Linked DNA regions of Arabidopsis thaliana. The protein of the gene in region 2 interacts with the protein of the main gene of each other region in a pairwise test. Each region holds a gene or a part of one and is shown on either strand. Other genes may lie near its edges.

What was found.
Region 1: the proteins of TAFII21 (region 2) and TAF4 interact in a two-hybrid assay, tested with the Arabidopsis thaliana proteins (one study listed by BioGRID).
Region 3: the proteins of TAFII21 (region 2) and TAFII59 interact in a two-hybrid assay, tested with the Arabidopsis thaliana proteins (one study listed by BioGRID).

What each region holds. Positions count from the first base shown.
Region 1 is NC_003076.8:17,315,131-17,322,976, forward strand, and holds TAF4 (TBP-associated factor 4), read right to left. Parts: upstream 6,056-7,846; 5' UTR 6,015-6,055; coding exon 5,976-6,014; intron 5,876-5,975; coding exon 5,770-5,875; intron 5,000-5,769; coding exon 4,485-4,999; intron 4,400-4,484; coding exon 4,307-4,399; intron 3,438-4,306; coding exon 3,392-3,437; intron 3,253-3,391; coding exon 2,618-3,252; intron 2,369-2,617; coding exon 2,244-2,368; intron 2,079-2,243; coding exon 1,991-2,078; intron 1,905-1,990; coding exon 1,769-1,904; intron 1,677-1,768; coding exon 1,621-1,676; intron 1,540-1,620; coding exon 1,483-1,539; intron 1,406-1,482; coding exon 1,265-1,405; intron 1,186-1,264; coding exon 1,117-1,185; intron 1,035-1,116; coding exon 812-1,034; coding exon of another isoform or gene 744-811; exon of another isoform or gene 708-743; coding exon 478-707; 3' UTR 331-477; downstream 1-330. Other genes in the region: AT5G43140 (Peroxisomal membrane 22 kDa (Mpv17/PMP22) family protein), read left to right, coding at 6,440-6,769, 7,449-7,677, 7,799-7,846.
Region 2 is NC_003070.9:20,213,399-20,216,925, forward strand, and holds TAFII21 (TATA binding protein associated factor 21kDa subunit), read right to left. Parts: upstream 1,868-3,527; 5' UTR 1,737-1,867; intron 1,488-1,736; 5' UTR 1,472-1,487; coding exon 1,211-1,471; intron 969-1,210; coding exon 678-968; 3' UTR 501-677; downstream 1-500. Other genes in the region: RSH3 (RELA/SPOT homolog 3), read left to right, coding at 52-363; SPL2 (E3 Ubiquitin ligase family protein), read left to right, coding at 2,082-2,453, 2,681-2,779, 2,868-3,029, 3,121-3,242, 3,425-3,527.
Region 3 is NC_003070.9:1,402,585-1,409,440, forward strand, and holds TAFII59 (TATA BOX ASSOCIATED FACTOR II 59), read right to left. Parts: upstream 4,948-6,856; 5' UTR 4,845-4,947; exon of another isoform or gene 4,622-4,844; 5' UTR 4,601-4,621; coding exon 4,475-4,600; intron 4,375-4,474; coding exon 4,288-4,374; intron 4,059-4,287; coding exon 3,957-4,058; intron 3,864-3,956; coding exon 3,755-3,863; intron 3,474-3,754; coding exon 3,373-3,473; intron 3,297-3,372; coding exon 3,159-3,296; intron 3,072-3,158; coding exon 2,976-3,071; intron 2,651-2,975; coding exon 2,526-2,650; intron 2,166-2,525; coding exon 2,033-2,165; intron 1,743-2,032; coding exon 1,617-1,742; intron 1,529-1,616; coding exon 1,022-1,528; 3' UTR 1,012-1,021; intron 857-1,011; 3' UTR 501-856; downstream 1-500. Other genes in the region: AT1G04945 (HIT-type Zinc finger family protein), read left to right, coding at 1-67; AT1G04960 (golgin family A protein (DUF1664)), read right to left, coding at 5,437-5,616, 5,874-5,930, 6,033-6,110, 6,213-6,245, 6,347-6,421, 6,768-6,856. UniProt on the Arabidopsis thaliana protein: TAFs are components of the transcription factor IID (TFIID) complex that is essential for mediating regulation of RNA polymerase transcription. Required for proper pollen function. May stabilize the interaction of TFIID with selected promoters.

The DNA.
Region 1 (7,846 bases), on a different chromosome or scaffold from region 2:
AGGTGGGGAGGACCACAAAACCACAATTAAGTTCCGCGTGATCTTTACTCATTCTTTTACTTGAATAATATGGTTTAGTGTAGACAAATTTCTCGAGTTTGCGTGTATTATTTGGACTAAACACAATATTTTTATCATCTATTTACAAGAAATATCAATAAGAGTAATGAAGTTATAGCAACCATATTAATAATTTGTGATTATTTATTTGATGGGTCCAGTCGCTAACTAGACGGTGTGATACATACTGTATATGATTTAACAAAGAGTACTTTTGTCTTTCAATTTTGCATTGGATGCAAAGTATTGAGATATGAGTCACTAGAAGATGTGTTGTAAATTGACGTTTGAGTTGAAATGGCCATGAAAAAACAATGAACATAACAGAAACAAATCACAATGGTATAAAAATAAATGACTTGGGGCCTTGACGATTAAATTATCATCAGAAGCTTATAAATATAATGATTCTTCTTTCTATTGAATTAATCGATACATCAGAGTGGATTTGGACATCTGTGGCTCTCTTTCGAGGACCGCAACCACATCCTTCACAGAGATTGTCCTCACCACTTTCGGTTGAAGCGACGAACCTTGGTTTTTCCCTACTCTTCGACCACCTGCAAACAAGAATCCAAAGCTCATCATCGCAAACCAAAACCGTGAGGAACTAACTCGATAGACAATCCCCACACCACAGCTAGATTCTTAGCATTTCCTAACACTAGCAGCATTTCATGCTTTCAAGGAGGGTTTATCGGTTTGTTCATCGGCTTTGCTAGGGGAAACAAGTTAAAAAGGATGGACTCACCAGTACCAGAAAACCGTCGTCCACCATCTTGTCTATCTTTGGAGTTCTTTCCTCCACCTGAAGTAGTTTTCTGATTCCCATCTTTACCAGCTTCAGATACAGATTTCTGACGAGCTTCAGCCATTAATTGCCATTTTAAGAACGCATCATCTCCTCCGACAGCAGCACGAGCAGCAACATTTGCAGCTGTCGTTCTCATTTTGTCGTCATCCTCTTTATTTCCCTTCACATGTCGAAACCACTTTTGTAAGAACACTGCAACGGTATTATTAATTTCCACAAATGTATTATTAATTTCTCCATACCTTCACACCCTTTGAACGATTATCTTCTTTATCCTTCTCACTGTCAACTCCACCATCACCTTCTTCACTCTGCAGCAAAAAGATGAAATTTGCAATGTCTGTGTGTTGTAGTAAACATAAGAACATAGATAATGAGCTCAGAACAGACCTCACTCGGTTTCTTAAGCTTTTCTGCTTCAGCCTGTTTCTTCTCCCATTCTTCCTTCACCTTCTGATTCATTTCGTTGATTTGTAGCCGAATATCTGATGTGATAAAAGTCCGGTGCCTAGATTTCTCAGCATCAACCCGCTGAAGAAGCATTTTTAGCTTCAGACAGAATTTATCAAACAATGTTGAACCAGGTAGTAAGAGAAAGTTAGACTGACCTGCTTTGACAACCGAATTATATGGGATAATAGTCCTCGCATCCTTTCCTCCACACACTGAAAGCAAATACATGAGAAAAGGGGAAAAAGAAGCTCAAGTATTGTATGCAAACAATGCACACGAAGTTGACATCTCACCAAAGATAAGCACCGTTCGACATCATTGCTTATCTGCTTTAACCCGGCTTTAGCCACTGCCAGATAAGAAAAGCATATGTAAGCTTCGTCTCCAAGTGATTCAATAACTAGAAATTAAAATAGAAGAAGATATGGGAAGTATCCCAACTAATTTCCGCCAGCTTTCTTTGCAGAGGATTCTTCTGCAAGATTAATCTTTCTTCTTCTTCGTGCACAACTCTCCGAGATGCTTCGGAAACACGACCATCTTCCTTGGCCCCAGAAAATAATTGTTCTTCCTCTTCCTAAATCAAATGCAGACAAAAAATGATTTACTTCAGTAATCTACATCCAGATTAAAATTGAAAACTGAAGCTACCAGGAAACGCACCCTGAGATTAACACCACTGACTGCAGTGACATCATTGAGCTGTTCAATACTTTGATCCATAGAATTCCCTGCTACTTTTTGCTTCTTGCTGCAAGTTGATCCATGCAAAACGATTATGATTTTATATTACTTGGGGACTCGAAAAGAAAAGTGGTTTACACTTAAAAATCCATACATCAGAAGTCTATTATTAACGAAGAAAGAGTGACTTAAAAAACTGTTCCCTGTTTCTAAGCCTGAGCAGATCAATTACCTTGGTGGTGGAGGTGAAGAACCTAATGTCTCAAGAGGTTTTTTCTGACCAACAGAAGGCTTTTTGGGTGGCATCCTAGCATTAGCTCCTCCTTGAGAGGTTCCCAATGGGCCACGAGAATTCATCTGATGGATACACAAACAATGTTAATGATGTCCAATTGAAACTTTTCCTATTTACTGTTTATAGTAGAAATTATAAAACCCAAAACAAGGAAAAACAATAGATGTCCAGGTTGTCGGACATAACACGGAAAATATGCAAGGGCTTTTGAAGCGCCATAGTTGCCCCAGCAGCTCAAAGAGAAGAGGCAAACAAGAACAGTGGAGACTGACTTTTATAATGAGAAAACTATATATTAATAGATCTCTTACAGTTGTGCTGGCGTCTAGTTGAGTTGTCATGGAAGGAGAAACAGAGCTTGCAGGCGCCATGTTGTTAGGCGTGGATAAAACCATTCTAGAGGACTCCTTCTCTAAGTCCTCATTCGAAGTCATTGAGGCTGCATTATTCTTTTCAAAACTTTGATCAACTGATTCCTGCTTTACGTGGGACACTGATGATCCTTGACCAGGTGCAGAATTTAGAGGCAATGATGAGCTGTTCTGGAAGTGCGATGTAGCGCCACCCTGAACCCTACTCGGATCATTTACAGAACTTGGCCTCTCAAACTTGGGCATAGTCATCATGTTTGTGGTAGACTGGGGCGGTCCTCCAAGACCAGTTGATCCCATAGGCTGGTTATGTGCCACATGTCTCATATGGGAATCATGAAGGTGAGGTCTCAACGTGGAACCAGAAGCATTGGTGTTTGGACCCGGGAATGAATGAAAACTACCAGAAGTGGTATACATAGGAAAAGAACTTGGTGGATGCTGCATCTGGTGCTGCGGATGTTTGGTAAGTCCCTGTACCGGAACTGAACTGCCTAAGGTGCCTGAAGCTGAGGACGGTAGTTGGTTAAGATGGACTGCACGAGGATCAGACTGAGATTTTTGATTATTGATTTCTGCGAATGAATAGATTTAATCAGGTAAGATATTGGCTCCTGCATGGAAGTAATAAGATATATCTATGGAGAGTATAGAAGCTTTTATGATAATGGTGAAAGAAAAATAAAAAAGAATGCATTAGTGAATAATTTATACCAGTAGAAGGAGCTTGAATTCCAATTTTTCCCTGGTTATAGTTCACCTGAAAACAATGAGCACAAATTACAAATAAATAAGAATCTATACCCAATTTCAAATGCTTCAACGGTTAGCACAATTTTAGTTGGAATTAAGAACCCAGTTCAAAAAGCAAAACCTTCATTAAAATAGTAGAAAACAGAACAAAGAGAATAACTTTGGTTCCCTCGGACAAAGATAAAGAGCTTCAACCTTATATATAGGAAAAGATAACTCCCAAACGAAAAAGGGAAAGAAAATAGAAATTCTAATTAGAATTGGACTAAACTTTTCGTATCTTATTATAATTATAATGGGAAATAAGATTAAATCGTATCAGTTGGTGTACTTGAACTAGTCCTACTCTGCAGACATTGACCACAAACGCTGGACGTATAAATTTAGCACCGTTTTAACATGTAAATGTGGGACAAACGCAAGTCAGTAAACTCATATGATTAGATCATCCCAGGCATAAGTCTGATAACCTTTGGAAAGGAATAATAATCTGCTAAGATTGGTATTCTGTAAGAAAGTAAATCTCGACTTTTTGGTAGTGATCAAAATAGAGGAAAATAAAGAGTTTTTCCCTAATTCAATATGTTGTATCTAATTTATGAAGCTAAAATATATATTCTAAACATCATTTGACTTATCAACAGTTCTACTTCATGTCAGACCATTCTATGTGCATTCAAGCTAATAAAAAACAATAGTCTTTTGATCCAGCTAAATTCAAAGAGCAAATGTAAAAAAAGAGTAAAAATGTAAAGCACTAGCAAGCAGAACTTTTAGACAAACAATTCCAACATGATTCCACTTACAAACTAATACCCTAGGTTGGTTGTCTGGTTTTAGTCACAACATGGCACAATATATGCAAAATGGTAATACCTGCTGGAGTTTACTAACTGCCATCCTGAGCATCTGATCGCCCACAATATCTTTCATATGTCGTGTGAACCCCTCTTTGGGGATTTCATTTTTCTGCAAAAAAAAGTAGCAGAAGGAAAGAAATGATAATACAATAGCTTTGGAACAGAATGTCAAATGATTTCACAGATAGACATACCTTAAGTCTAGCATATAGGGTACGGAGCTGCAGTGCTCTATCTTTATCGAGTTGGTTCATTAAAGTAGGAAGCAAAGCAGCAAATGGTACTTGCTTAGGGTTGCGGTTTATAGGGTTAACATTCATAGGGTTAACAGGCGGTTCCACTCCCCGAGCCTGTTGACTACTCATCTTTTGCAGTTTCATATACTGAGATTCACTCTCTTGATTATGGGATCTATCTGATTCATTACCAGTAGGATTCTTTTCACTAATCGGTAACCCAGTTGATTGGGGGACCTGCGAGGGATTCTCCCAGAGTTGACCAGCTCGATGAAGGTCTTGAGGCTGGTTGTGTTGTAAATGAGGTTCATTTGCGCGTTTCAAATCATGTTGATGTTGATTTTCTAAAGTCGATCCTTCTTGCTCCTTCATCTGAGTACTTTCAAGGCTATGCTGAGTCTGGACATTGATATTAGAATCTCCAATACCATTCTTCCATGTCGAAAACTGCTGCCTGGAAGAATGGTTGTTTCCTATAAAAATAATAGAAGCAATTGGTTGATGATACTCAAATCACAAGTTAAACTGGAGGAAAAATCATATAATACCCAAAAAAGGACAAAAGACAGGATTTTGTTGTAGCAGATTATGCACACAAAATGCATACTCAGTAGCTCTCATACACCTATCCACAAATCACAACCTATTTGTATTTCAATATTTAATGGTGTAGTCAGAGGAAAGAGATCACTTCCAGCACCAGAGACAGAAAATAATGATTTAAGGAGACACGTAATCATCGTCAAGATTGCAGTGAACCAAGAACAAAGCCTAACACTAAAATAGTATCAGCATCACCAACCTATGTCTACCCTGGCTAATAAATCCCATCACACTGATCAATTTTAATGACTCAACAATCAACTAGTACAGGCTATATTGGCAATGACAAAGCTTATCCCGATATTAACATACAGAAACCCTAACAAACTAATATTTCATGACCTTAACTATTGCTTTAATACAGGACTGAAACTTCCAAACATGTCACTAGATTAGCAAGGTTTACAATATAGCCTAACCAAGGCATCTTCTTAAGTTATCCATGTTCCAAGAGTAATAACCTATCTGAGAAAACTGTATATATTAAAAACAAGCACAACTTTGCTAACATGTCAAAGCTTCCCAAAGCAGCCAATCCAAGATAAAACCAAAAGATACTATCTTTATATTAACTAATAGTACCACAAAAATTAAAATCTCAGACATAAAATTTAAGAGCGAATTTGTAGAGAAACCAAACCTGGGTTTGTCACGTGGGGTATTGAAGTTGTCATAGAACCTTCAATATCACGATTCAGAGCAGCTTGGAACGCGTCTACGTCAGCTCCTGAATGCATCGATTCATCCTAAAATAATACAATTCGACCGGAATCAAAAACCACGAAGACGATTCCAGATACATCACACAAAATTGGATTTTGAAACGAGTGAGATTAGAAACCTAACCTCATCTTCTTCAAGGAGCTTGAAAATTGAAGGATCCATTGAAATAGCTGGGGAAGGCAAAGAGAGAAAGAGAGCTCTCGGCGTAGATGAATTAATAGGAAACAGATGTTATAAGATTAGTCCTAAACTAACCTCATGTCGTTTATTAGCTTTGTTTTAGCACTGTATGTCGTTTTTAATTTTGATCGAAAAAAAACGATACCGTTTGTTATGGATGAGTAACCTCATGTTGTTTATTGGTGTTCTTTTAAAAACTGCATGACGTTTAATGGAATACGAAAAACGCTGTCGTTTGCTTTATTGCGTGGAGAGATATATCAAACTTTATGTCGTTTATTGGTTTTGGTTAAGCACTGTTTGTTGTTTGCGTGTATTGAGACTAAAAGTTCTGGTACAGAGAGAGAGATACATCAAAAGTACAGTGTAAGCTGCCGCCATTAACGAAGCATCGGCGAAAAAAGAAGATGAATATCGTTGGATTGAGCAAACGTTTCTTCTCCGATCGTCGCTCTCTTCACGGGATCAACAATGCTCTCTTGAAAACAGTGTTCACCGGTCGGAAACCGATTCTCGGATTCTCCGGCCGATCGATTCACGAGCTACGCAAAACTGGGAATTTCGTAATCCCTCGTGTTTTCTCCGTGTCGCGAAATCTAACGACGAAGGCTTCGTCTTCTTCTTCGAAACAACCTGCGTTTCTACGATGGTATTTGAGAAAGCTCGAATCACATCCTTTTATGACTAAGAGTATCACTACTTCTGTCATCTATATGGCTGCAGATCTCACTTCTCAGGTTTTTTTTTGAATCTTTGTAGTTTTTGGAATTTAGGGTTCTTTCTCATTTCATTACTAATTAGAGAATTTTGTTAAAGTTTTGAATTTTATCTCTTGATTTAGGAAGAAAAGACTAATCTTCATTTGTTATTATACCAAGACAATTCCAAATTTGATTTGAAACTAGATCATAATCTTACTAGTGGAAGAAGTTATAATACTTTAGTAAAGAATAGGTGGAGATAGCACTAAAAGTTGGTGTTTTTTAATGAATTGTTATTCTCATATTTTTGGTTTAGTCTGTGTTCTCAACTGTTGTTCTTTGATGTGTGAGACTGTACTTACAGTGTTTACTGAATCTGTATATTGTACTCTTGTGAATTTGAAGTCTTTCTGTACTGAATAATGGATGAATTTAGTATTGGTTTGATTACTCAGAAAACTCACACTCCAATCCGAATAGTCTAATCTTCTTGTTATTATCTCTTGTGAATACTTATTGCTAAGGTGAAAAAAGCTTTAGGTGTGTGTGTTGGGGTTCTTGTAAACTCTGTTTTTCTTCTTGTCATTAGTGGATTTCTCTTTTGAGTCTTTTTATGATCATGTTGTGGTGCTCTTCCCCCAGTAATATGTTAGAGCGAAACTAGAGAACCTTTTGTTTTGTTTTATTTGTGTTGACTCTCTAAATTCTTCAACAGATGATCACAATGGAGCCAACTGGTTCTTTTGACTTGATAAGAACAGCGAGAATGGCGAGCTTTGGGTTGATATTTCTCGGGCCGTCTCAGCATCTGTGGTTCAGTTATCTTTCGAAGATATTGCCAAAGCGCGACGTGTTGACAACCTTTAAGAAAATAATGATGGGGCAGGTTCTTTTCGGACCTGTTAGCAACACAGTCTTCTATTCCTACAATGCTGCTTTACAAGGTACATAACATAATCAAACCTCTATGGATTGAACGGATTTAGCTTTTTACGGTTTCTCTGCCTGTAAATTTATGGTGCTCATTATGAGATTGGTTCTGGCACGTTGTTGGTCCTTTTTAAGGCGAAAATTCTGAGGAAATTGTGGCGAGATTGAAGAGAGATCTTCTGC
Region 2 (3,527 bases):
TGAGGATGTTTCTTTGCTTGGAGTTATAATTTGATAAACCCGAAAATGCAGATGACTGTGCAAGAGTTTCCCGAGAATTCTACCGTGTCGGACCTGTTACGCAGAGCAGGACCAGGGAGCTCGAGATGGTCAATGTACAGCATCCCGGCAAAGGAAGAGCTAAGGCCAAGACTTAACCAGACACCTGTAAGTGATCTGAAATGCAAGCTGAAGATGGGAGATGTGGTGGAGCTGACTCCAGCCATACCTGACAAGTCTCTGACTGAATACAGAGAGGAAATTCAGCGGATGTATGATCGAGGGCTTGCGTTTTCACGGCCTCACCGTGCAGCTACTGGTACCATGGTTGGCTGGGGAAGCTAACTGATTCTCTTAATTACCTTTGTTCATGTATATATACTATAGTTGCATATATAGTATAATGCTTCAGAAGATTTGTTGTACCTTCGGTATTGTTGATTCCCACACAACAGTGTATATAAGATATGCCTATATGTTCTAAAAAACTGACTCTGGTCATTAATATTTGATTCTCTTACATTCTAAATCTTCAAACCACACATCTGGATCTGGTCCATAAAAACTGGCTCTGGTCATTAATTTTTGATTGTGTTACATTTCTACTTGTTGATACATAAATATTATAGATTTTTTGGTCTATCTACTTATTTGGGTACTTATTTGGGTCGTCTAGAGAGTGGGAAAGAGACCCTTTGAGGAGTTTGGCTTGGAAGGTCTGAGGTTTGTTGTTGCTGCTGTTGTTGTTCTTGAGAGGACTGTCCAGGATCTGTCATTTCTTCATCGTCCTCGGTTTCTTCAGGTTCTGTTGAAACCGACTTCTTCGGTATCACGAGCTGATAATTTGGGCTCAGCAATGTGTCCTGTTCAGGTGGGAGTGGAACACCGGGTCCTGCTATCGATTTTGGCAGAGGTATCTTGTTCCTACTTGCAGCAAGCTCAAGCAGAACCTAAATCAAACATCAAAAACAGAAACTTCAAGATTCAGGAACCAAAAGGCATGGATGTGACAGACAAAAACTTGAGGTTCTCAGTGATACAATTTATGAGGCAAGAGGGTCACACACAGTTCATAAGTCATAAGTAAGAGTGATAATTCCCTAATGATTCACATATACCAAATGACCGATCATATCGCATCTCTTCTCAGACAATGAAGAAGAAGAAACATGGAATCGTCAACAATGCATACCTCTCTTGGAGGAGGCTGTGAGAAGCTGAAATTAACTTTGGATTGAATAGCGAGCTTCACATCATCACAGTCAATGTTGGGTTTGCTAGCATGCTCTGAGTAAACCTGAGCATCTGTCAACACTTCGACCACATACCGGTACCATAACTCCAGAAACTGATGTATCACACGAGGCTCGTAGTCTTCTACACCCATCGACTTAAGCAGAGATTTCACAATCTTAGCATCTCTAGGTACATCTTCTTCACCTTCTCCTGCCATGTTTATCCCTAAACAACTAAAAAAAAAGTAAAGCTACAGAGTCAAATTAAGAACCTTTCTTATACAGAATTGATGTTGCAACAACACAAGTTTCAATCGAATCTCACAAGCAAACATCGTGTAACAGCAACACATTACATAAATCGAATAAATAAGAATTAGAGCTTCACGAATCGGAGATAAGAAAGACAAAGGAGATTCTAACCTAGCTTCATCAATAAGTTCCAAAACACAAGATTATATGCCATAAAGAGGCGATAAATACCTAATGCGAGAGAGAAAGTTTGGTGGAGAGCTAGTGGCAGAAACACGACGGAGAGATTGATGAACGGCGGCGAGGAATCGGGAAATACTAATCTCTGCCACTCTAGATCTGATATTTATGGTTTTGGTTTGTAAATCTGCTGTAACGTTGAGGGTGTAAATGTAATTTAACTAAAACGCTATTTATTACTAGTATTTTGTATTTCACTCGTGCATAGGCCCATTAAAGACCCAAATTAGAACGACGGTCGAATGTATAATATTAAATACCGATAATAGCCTCATTTCTCTTCCGTTTACTTGTCCGTGTGACCGTGTCTACGACGTTGAAATCGAAATTACCACAATGTCCTCGCCGGAGCGTGCTCTCTTGAATCTATTGACGGACATCGCTCTCTCCTTCGACGGCGCAATCCTCGGACTGACTTTAGCTGTTAGCGCCGTCGGTTCTGCTCTCAAGTATGCTTCTACCAACGCCGCGTTGAAGAAGATCAAAGATGCACCCGAAGTCTCCATTTCCGACCTCCGATCACTGCTTCCGGCTTCTGAAGACAAATCAGAGACTAACGATAACAGGAAGAGCAATGATCAGCGAATCGTTGTGGTTCGCGGAGTCGTCAAACCGAAAATTTCCGGTGATGAGGGTTACAAGAACAACAACGTGTTAATCTCTCCGGAGACTGGAGATAAAGCTCTTATCATTCAGAGAACGCAAACTGTACGTTGCTCTAAACCCTAAGTGTTTATGTTTCCCTCAAATTGCAATTGACATTGACCTAATTTTGCTTTGTGTTCTTATCAAAGGCTTAGGTTAAAGAGTTTGGATGATTTCTTCATGATTAGGTGTTCATTGTGATTGATTAAGTTAGGATTATGTAAGTTGGTACTGGTGTGATCTCAGAAGGGAAATGTATGTTTCTAATGTCATCATTTTGTTGTTGACAGTATGTGTATAGTGGATGGAAGAGATTGTTTCAGTCCACTGGTCACCGGTTTATGTTGGAGAGATCATTGCGCAAACACGGTGCTGATTTTACGAGAACGGTAAAGTCTCTCTATCAGCTTCAGAGCTTTCAACTTTGGCTCTGTATCCATGATCAAACTTGTTTTGTGTATCCTTTGCTTTGTGCAGGTCCCATTTGTCATTGTTGGAAAGGATCAGCAATCGAACTCTAGTTTTGTCGCTGTTAACATGGATGGCTCAAGGCAACCTCTTCCGCTTACCACTGTGTATAATCGCTTGCAGCCTATTAATTCTTCGTTTCTTCAAGCCTTTTTGTACCCCGATTATCCTGTGAGTATATATATATTCAAAGAAATTTCTGGTTTTGAGGAACTGATGGTTACTTGTTCTTGGCTAACTTTGTAATCCTTTCTCTTCCAAGGTTGGTCTGCTTGATATAGAGAAGATTTTACCACCTGGGAAAGATATAACAGCTGTTGGCATCTACAGTTTTAATAATGGAGTTCCTGAAATCAAATCGTGCCAAGATCTTCCTTATTTCTTGTGAGATTTTATCTGAATATTTTTCGTTCTTATATATCTGCCTGCGTTCTAGCTCAAATTATTACTTCATCTTCTTCTTTATGTTTTCTCAATCTGTTGATCATTTGACAAGATTTAGTCCATTGTTGCAGAAAGGCTCTATTTGCTGTTCATATATAAATCTTTATGAATAATCTTTGCAGATCAGAGATGACCAAGGACAAGATGATTGAGGACCTTATGGAACAGACCAACTTTATATTCTTGGGCAGCGTTATCTTGGGCATTGTGTCTGTTGGCATCCTT
Region 3 (6,856 bases), about 19 Mb from region 2:
CCAAAATTTAGATACTGATTTCATCGCTGATGGACTAGATTTAGAAGAAGGGGAAATCGTCGAATGATGGTCATAGTCTTGTTCTGGCAAAAAGGAATTACTCTCTGTGAAACATTTTTGAGGATTATGTTCATGCCTGAAGCTCTCTTGTTCGAGCACATTAGCTATACTTGGTAATAGCCAAAGCTTTTACTGGAATGCAATAAGCCACAGCACTGATGGTCATAAGTTTTCGGTCTGGGCTTTGATCAACAGGTATTTCTTTTGTAGTAAACCAGATTACTAGGCTGTTCTGTGGTTTGTAGCAAACTTGATTGTTTACATACAAGATAGTTAACTTAAGAATGTCTCCGAAACTTTTGTTCAGTCTTATCCTCCTATAGATCCTCATAAATTAATCTTGTTGTCTTTCAGATCTTCTTTATAGTCAATGTAATACAGACCAAACCTTGTAGTTTGCCCAAAAGTTTTCTAGCAACGGACCAGAAGGATCAACAATAGATATAATCTATGAACGGATATTATATGTAAAGAGTAAATAAGCAAGAGAGCATACATGTAAACAACAATATCAAAAATTGCAATCTAGATCATACAGATTTGAAGAGAAATTATTTCATGGATTACATTTGAGAGTAAACAAATAAGTCCACTACGGAATCATTAAAATTCTCTTAATATATACATTGCAACCGGTTCAATTCAACTCAACCCACTCTGCAGGCTCCTAAGGACTTTGAAATCCCTCAAGCTTAAAAAGAAGAACTAAAGAGTTGACCTGAGAACAATGGCACGGATCTAAATGAGTTTATGTATGCCAACCAGACGGCGCTTTAATCTCTCCAAGCCTCCTTCTCTGCTTGAAAATCATCAAACATCTATTTCATTAGCATTAATGTATTGAGTATCATTATTCTTTTGATTTCACATATTTATTGCATTCACGACTGGAACCATGAGTTTTATATCGATGAGGTAAATATCAGGAAGTTGGGGAATAGAATAGCTCACCTCTTATTGGTTAGAGGAATACTGACATCTCTGTAGAAGGGATAAAGGGAAGAATCCTATCACCATAGAGTTCGTGCAGTTTCACCAATAGCCGTCCGGAATCAAGATCATCTTTCCATATCTGATCAAGGATTGCTTTCATGGTAATAGCCCGACTCCTGCCGCTTTCTTTCACCTTTCCATTTCTGCTTTCAGATTCGTTAGCATCAGAGGCTTGTTCTGATGAGGATGGCTGAACAGAGTTTTGTGGCGGATTGTCATTTTCCACTGGATTATCTACTTGCATTGGAGCTGAGCCAGATTGATCTTGTGAATGTACACCATCTGGCCCATCCATGGTTATCAATCTTTTCTGCGGTGATTGGTTTTCTGAAGAATCTACACTCAGCTTCCGCTTGTGGGGATCAGTACTGATTATCTTTCCCTTTCCCTTTCCCTTATGGAGAAAACTTGGTGACGGAGATGGTAAAGGTGGGAAGATTTTAAGCCGGCCATGTATACACAAGCCTGCAGCACGCTGAAAAGAAAAAGGGGGCAAGTCCATCTAAGGATTGTCCACTGAGAATTCTACAAAGATGAAATTTTACAAGGATGTGTTTACTAACCAGCAAGGCTCCATATACACGCCAAGCTTCGTAGATCTTCATCTGATTTTTTTGCTTCTCAGCATTCAATTCAGGTTCGAGAAGACTTAGATATGGTTCGAGATTTGATAGAATAAGAAGGCGTACCTACACAATATATGACATTCAGATGACAACAGATAACAATGCAGGATAGCTGTGCTAAAGTTTTTGGTAGCAGGGGTATCTGATTCACTGGAGTAGCCGTTTAAGACGATAAAAGTCCTAATTTCCCAATAAAATGAATAAGCAAACCCGGAAAAATGGTATGGGCAAATCAAATTGTATCTCAGATTCTGAAAAGTCCCTAGATTGAAGGACAAGCTGGGTAACATTATTTCTCGGTGATATCTGAAATAGCATGCACAAACTTTCTGAAAGGTCAAGGAATGACTTACAACAGTGTGCCCCAAAGCTGCTAATCCTTGAATCGCACCATAGTGCTGAGTCAAAGCCTTCTTTGGGTCCAGCAGTGCATTGACTAAAGTTCTGGTAAGACGAGACTGAAGAGTTATATAAACGGTTCCATACCTGCAAGATTTTATTAAAATCACAGGATTTCAGATGCTAAAAGAATATAAAGGTGAGATATGTAAAATAAAAGTGCGAGACAATGTACCCTTTTAAATAATGAAGAAGACTATAGCAAGTTATTACTAATTGTTGTTAATATAGATCTAACCATTTGTTTTTCAGCTCGAGCAAAAAAGAAGTAGATATCAATAGTAAAGAGATCAAACAAGATAAACTTAGCAGAACATCTATGGATAATCATCTCATGATATTTCCTTATAGAATTTCATTATTAGCTCCAGTAAGAAATCATGTATAGATCCCCACAATCAACCAAAACAAACACAGAGTTCATGACATGAAAGGGAAATAATGAACCTTTTACATATCAGTGAAACCAGATTTGCCGCAAAATCTCTGAGTTCCCAGTGGTTGTCAGCAAATCTATTTCCAAGCTTTCTTGATACAAGGCATGTTACAACAGATGGCATCAACTGGTGCAGCTGGCACCAAAAGAAAAAGTTCACTCAGCTTCATGGTTATGAAACATTGCTCAAACAACCAACTCATTATCCCAAGGCTGGTTTACATAATCTCAATACAGATCAAAGGCAAAACTTGTTGTTATTTCAAGCAGACTGAGAGTACTTAAGCACTCGAGCTTGCAGACCTCGGACAAACACTACCACTAACCATTTGATACCCATTATATAGAATATGTCTAATATAGAACTTGAAGAAACCCAAATCAGAAGCCTAAAGAAAATGGAGCTACATGATTCTACAATTTTTTAGATAGTGGCAAAAGATAATCCAGAGAAAACTTACATAAGGTTCTATGTGTATGTGAGGATTCTGTAGAAGACTTCTAACAATGTGCATTAGATTAAACAGGAGTCGGAAGTCATTTAAGCCATTTGAAACCTGCACAAGTGGAGAAAATTAAAACTGCAAAAACTTAACGTGGGTCTTATTGGTTCACACTAGTTCCTCGGTGGTGCATAATGTTACCTCATCAGCAATGAAATTTGTAAAATATGGAACTAGAGGATGAAGTCCTGAGTCTGAGGCCAAGCTCACTAATGCTTCTTTATACAGAGGAGGATTTGACTTGCTCATTGCAAGTTCAGCAATCTTTTGGAAGTATAACTGTGAAGAGAGAACAACAGATAAGTCCTATGTATGTAAGGATATTACCCTATGATATTTAGACTGCACCATATACCTGAAGTTCCCTAGATAGTACATGCTTCACTGGTAGCCTAACGTCAATAAGAGGTCCGTCTTTTTGTTCATGGATTTTGGTTTCTGCAGGTGCTCTAATGACTAGAGACAACACAAACAAGTGAAAAATATAGTCAAGATAGGAAAGAACAAGGATTTCTTGCTCATGCGGATCCGCAAAACAATAATACAGATGGATCTGAAAATATGTATTTTGATCTTTCAGTAACATCAGTAAGCTCACCACTTAACACGGGGTAACTGTAGAAAGAGGTTTATACACCTCTGAAACGTCATTGTACATACTAATATTTGTTTCATGTTGAAAAATTCATATAATGACTTTACAACTCTAGCCCAGGGCATAAGATTGAGAGACAAACCTTCTAAAGGAGCATTTTCTGGTATAGCTGGTTGCACTCCTTCAATAGCCAGCCAGTGACAAACAATTTCAGTATCAAGGGGAGCTTTTGGCAGCGGGGCTTCGATCACCTAGAATCATGACATTTCTTGAAAACATAAGGAACCCAAAATGAAGAATTTAACTGAAACAAAAAAAACATGCCAGCTTTTCCAACATCTTACATCTTTGAAATCCACTTCTCTGTCATCAGTGTAGAACAAATCGCGATGTCCAATAGCTTTTCTAAAACGAAATGGCCCTCCTGAGGCAAATCCATATATCGGCTGCAATAGATATAATCACTCTCAAAAAGATGCCTTTGATTCAGTTGACTACAATAGTGAAATATGTGAAAGCAATGTGTAACAGATGGTGTTATTCATATGCACCAGTAAAGCCAAACCTCAAAACTAGAAACCATATATCTTTGTCACTCAACTACAAAAACCAGGAAGCTTACACAACCAAAACTCTAGATAATGGGAAGTAAGAAATAGGTCATCGAGTTTGTACCTCAACGTTCCTTAAGTTGAGAGCACCATCTACATCCGAAGCTGTTAAAGTCGTTCTCTTTGAGTGACGCATGCATTTGATAGCTTCCTGAAAGGACATCCAAAGAGAAGGTACAGAAAGATCAATATGCTGATACCAGAAAACTCACCTCAAGAACACAAAGACATGATTAGAAAAAGAAGGTAACCTGCATGATCTCTCGGACACGATACTCAACATCAGGAGCAAGCATAAGAGCAGCTTCAGGTAACAAGTTGGTAATCCCAATACTTTGAGCTATTACCTCAACCGTTTCCTTAGGTACAATGCTCATCTTCCCCAGGCTGCTTATCCACTGTGGCGATACAAGGACACAGAAGAAACATCAACAGTGGTTATATTAAGTAAGAAAAAAGCACAAAAAATCATTGGAACCTCCCAATTAAACCATTGTTGGGCATACACAATGAATCGCAATTCAACAGCCCAGAAGACAAAGGCTGCTTCCATACTCCGTAAAAGTGTGAAATTTGTCCCGTTAACCAAAATTCGAGCACAAAAATAAGTTGGAAATTTACATGAACCGGAGAGGGATTTGCGTTGAGCGACGAAGATCCAGACACTTCACTTGAGAGGAAAGAAGCTCCGATTAACCGATGCCAAGCCTCTTGTTAATATAAGAAGCCGGGCCGGGTTTTTTAATTGCTGTCAAATTCACCCGGTTGGACTATTTCGGGTTAAATTAAATTTGGGCTGTCTCTATATCTATTTTGGGCCAAGGCCCAATAAGAGCGAAATATTTTATTTCTCTGCCAACTAAAGACAATTAATCCTACGAGAAAGGACGAAACAAATGTTTCAAGACAGTAGTTCTGTCTTCTGTGGTAGTTCTTTCTATTTTCTACACAAACAAAATTGATCCAAACACAAAAGGAAAAAGGAGCACAAAAGTCCAAATCAATGAAGACATCAACATACGTGAAAGCCTTAATCACACTCTTTCTTTACAAACATCAAGACCAAATATAATTAGGGGCAAACCAAATTGTTGGTGGATGCAATAACATATGTAGATTTTTCTTCTTTTTACATGAAAAAATAATTGCCAGTCCCAGTATCAGAATTTGGGACGAATACAAGCAATTTCTTTGTATATCAACCAAAATAATATTAGGATAGTCCTGAAACATCCCGTACCCAAGATATTCCACCTGGAAACGCTCTATGAACTCTGCTTCTTCCCGCTGCAGTGACTTTTGTTTTTTCCCCCATCACCATAATTTCTTTCGCCATAACCGGCTTGTGTATTACATTTGCATCCTCTTTGCCTTCCGTCAGAAACCGCAGACCCTGGAGTTTCCATAGTTTTATAGTTTTAGAAAGCCAAAGAAACATCATGACATGAAATCATCAAATAACAGCTACTACCACAAGTATTTTCAGGTTCCAATTTTTATTCGAATAAGCTTGATGAGAGATTGCCTTGAATATATGCAAATTCAAGATCAACCATCTCGTTGAATTTTTTCACTATAAGCAACTTTTTTGCGTCAACAGAATGGAAATGCACATTTATATGATGGAAAAAGGTATAGTAGCATTCTTACAGAGAGAGAAGTATTAGTGGATGGTTTTCCATCAATAGGTAATCTCTCACCAACATCCTAAACCACAAAGCCAGAAACAAGATTTTTTTCATTAAGGCCTATAACTACGTGAAAAATAAGTAAGAAAACGTTTCACTTAATTTGTAAGTTAACACTCACCTGAAATACTTTAGTACTTGTGCTGTCTTTAACGCCTGCAACTTGACATAGATGCCATAGTCCAGAGAGGGTCACATCCTAAAATTTTAACAAAAAAAATATCTGTTTGAGATCAATTAGTTTTAAGAAAATTGATAGCGTGAAGTGGTTTGTAGTATCTAATGGTTGTAGACAAATTACTTGTTTGCTTTCAAGACTTTCAATCTTCCCTTCCTGTAAAAATTTCATATAAGAGAGTAAAGATATATTAGCCCCTTTAAAATATGCATATTAGAGGGCAATGATGCATATTAGAGGGCAATGATGAGACTTACTATTCCAGAAATCATTTCATTAAGTTGCTTAAAATCAAACCCAATTTGCGAAATGCTTGATCTCATCTCAGTAACCTGAATTGAAGCAAGATTCCATGTGAGCATTAGCATTAAAATGAATATCAAAGAAAGGCATAGATGGAGTAAATCGCAGATATGAGAATCAAGCTGTAATTTGAAAGAAACAAAGGACTCTACTGTACATGTGAAGAAAAACAGTTCAGGGCCAAAGAGATAGGACGTTAATAAATAAATACTCTACAATCTTTTGGAATTCCTAAATGTGTTTTAAATTCTTCTAAGATGTTAAATGTACAAGAGGAGATCTCTCTCAGACGAATGTATAAGTATCCTAATCTTAAGTCTAAGGAAAAAATAAGGCATCAATACAAGAAAGTGAGAAATAAAACGGGTTCCTTACATCACTTAAGATCATTTTAGATGTCTCATTCTGCTCTTCCACCTTCCAATCCAAGGTCGCTAGCTTCTGAGAAAGATGTTTCCTTGTTG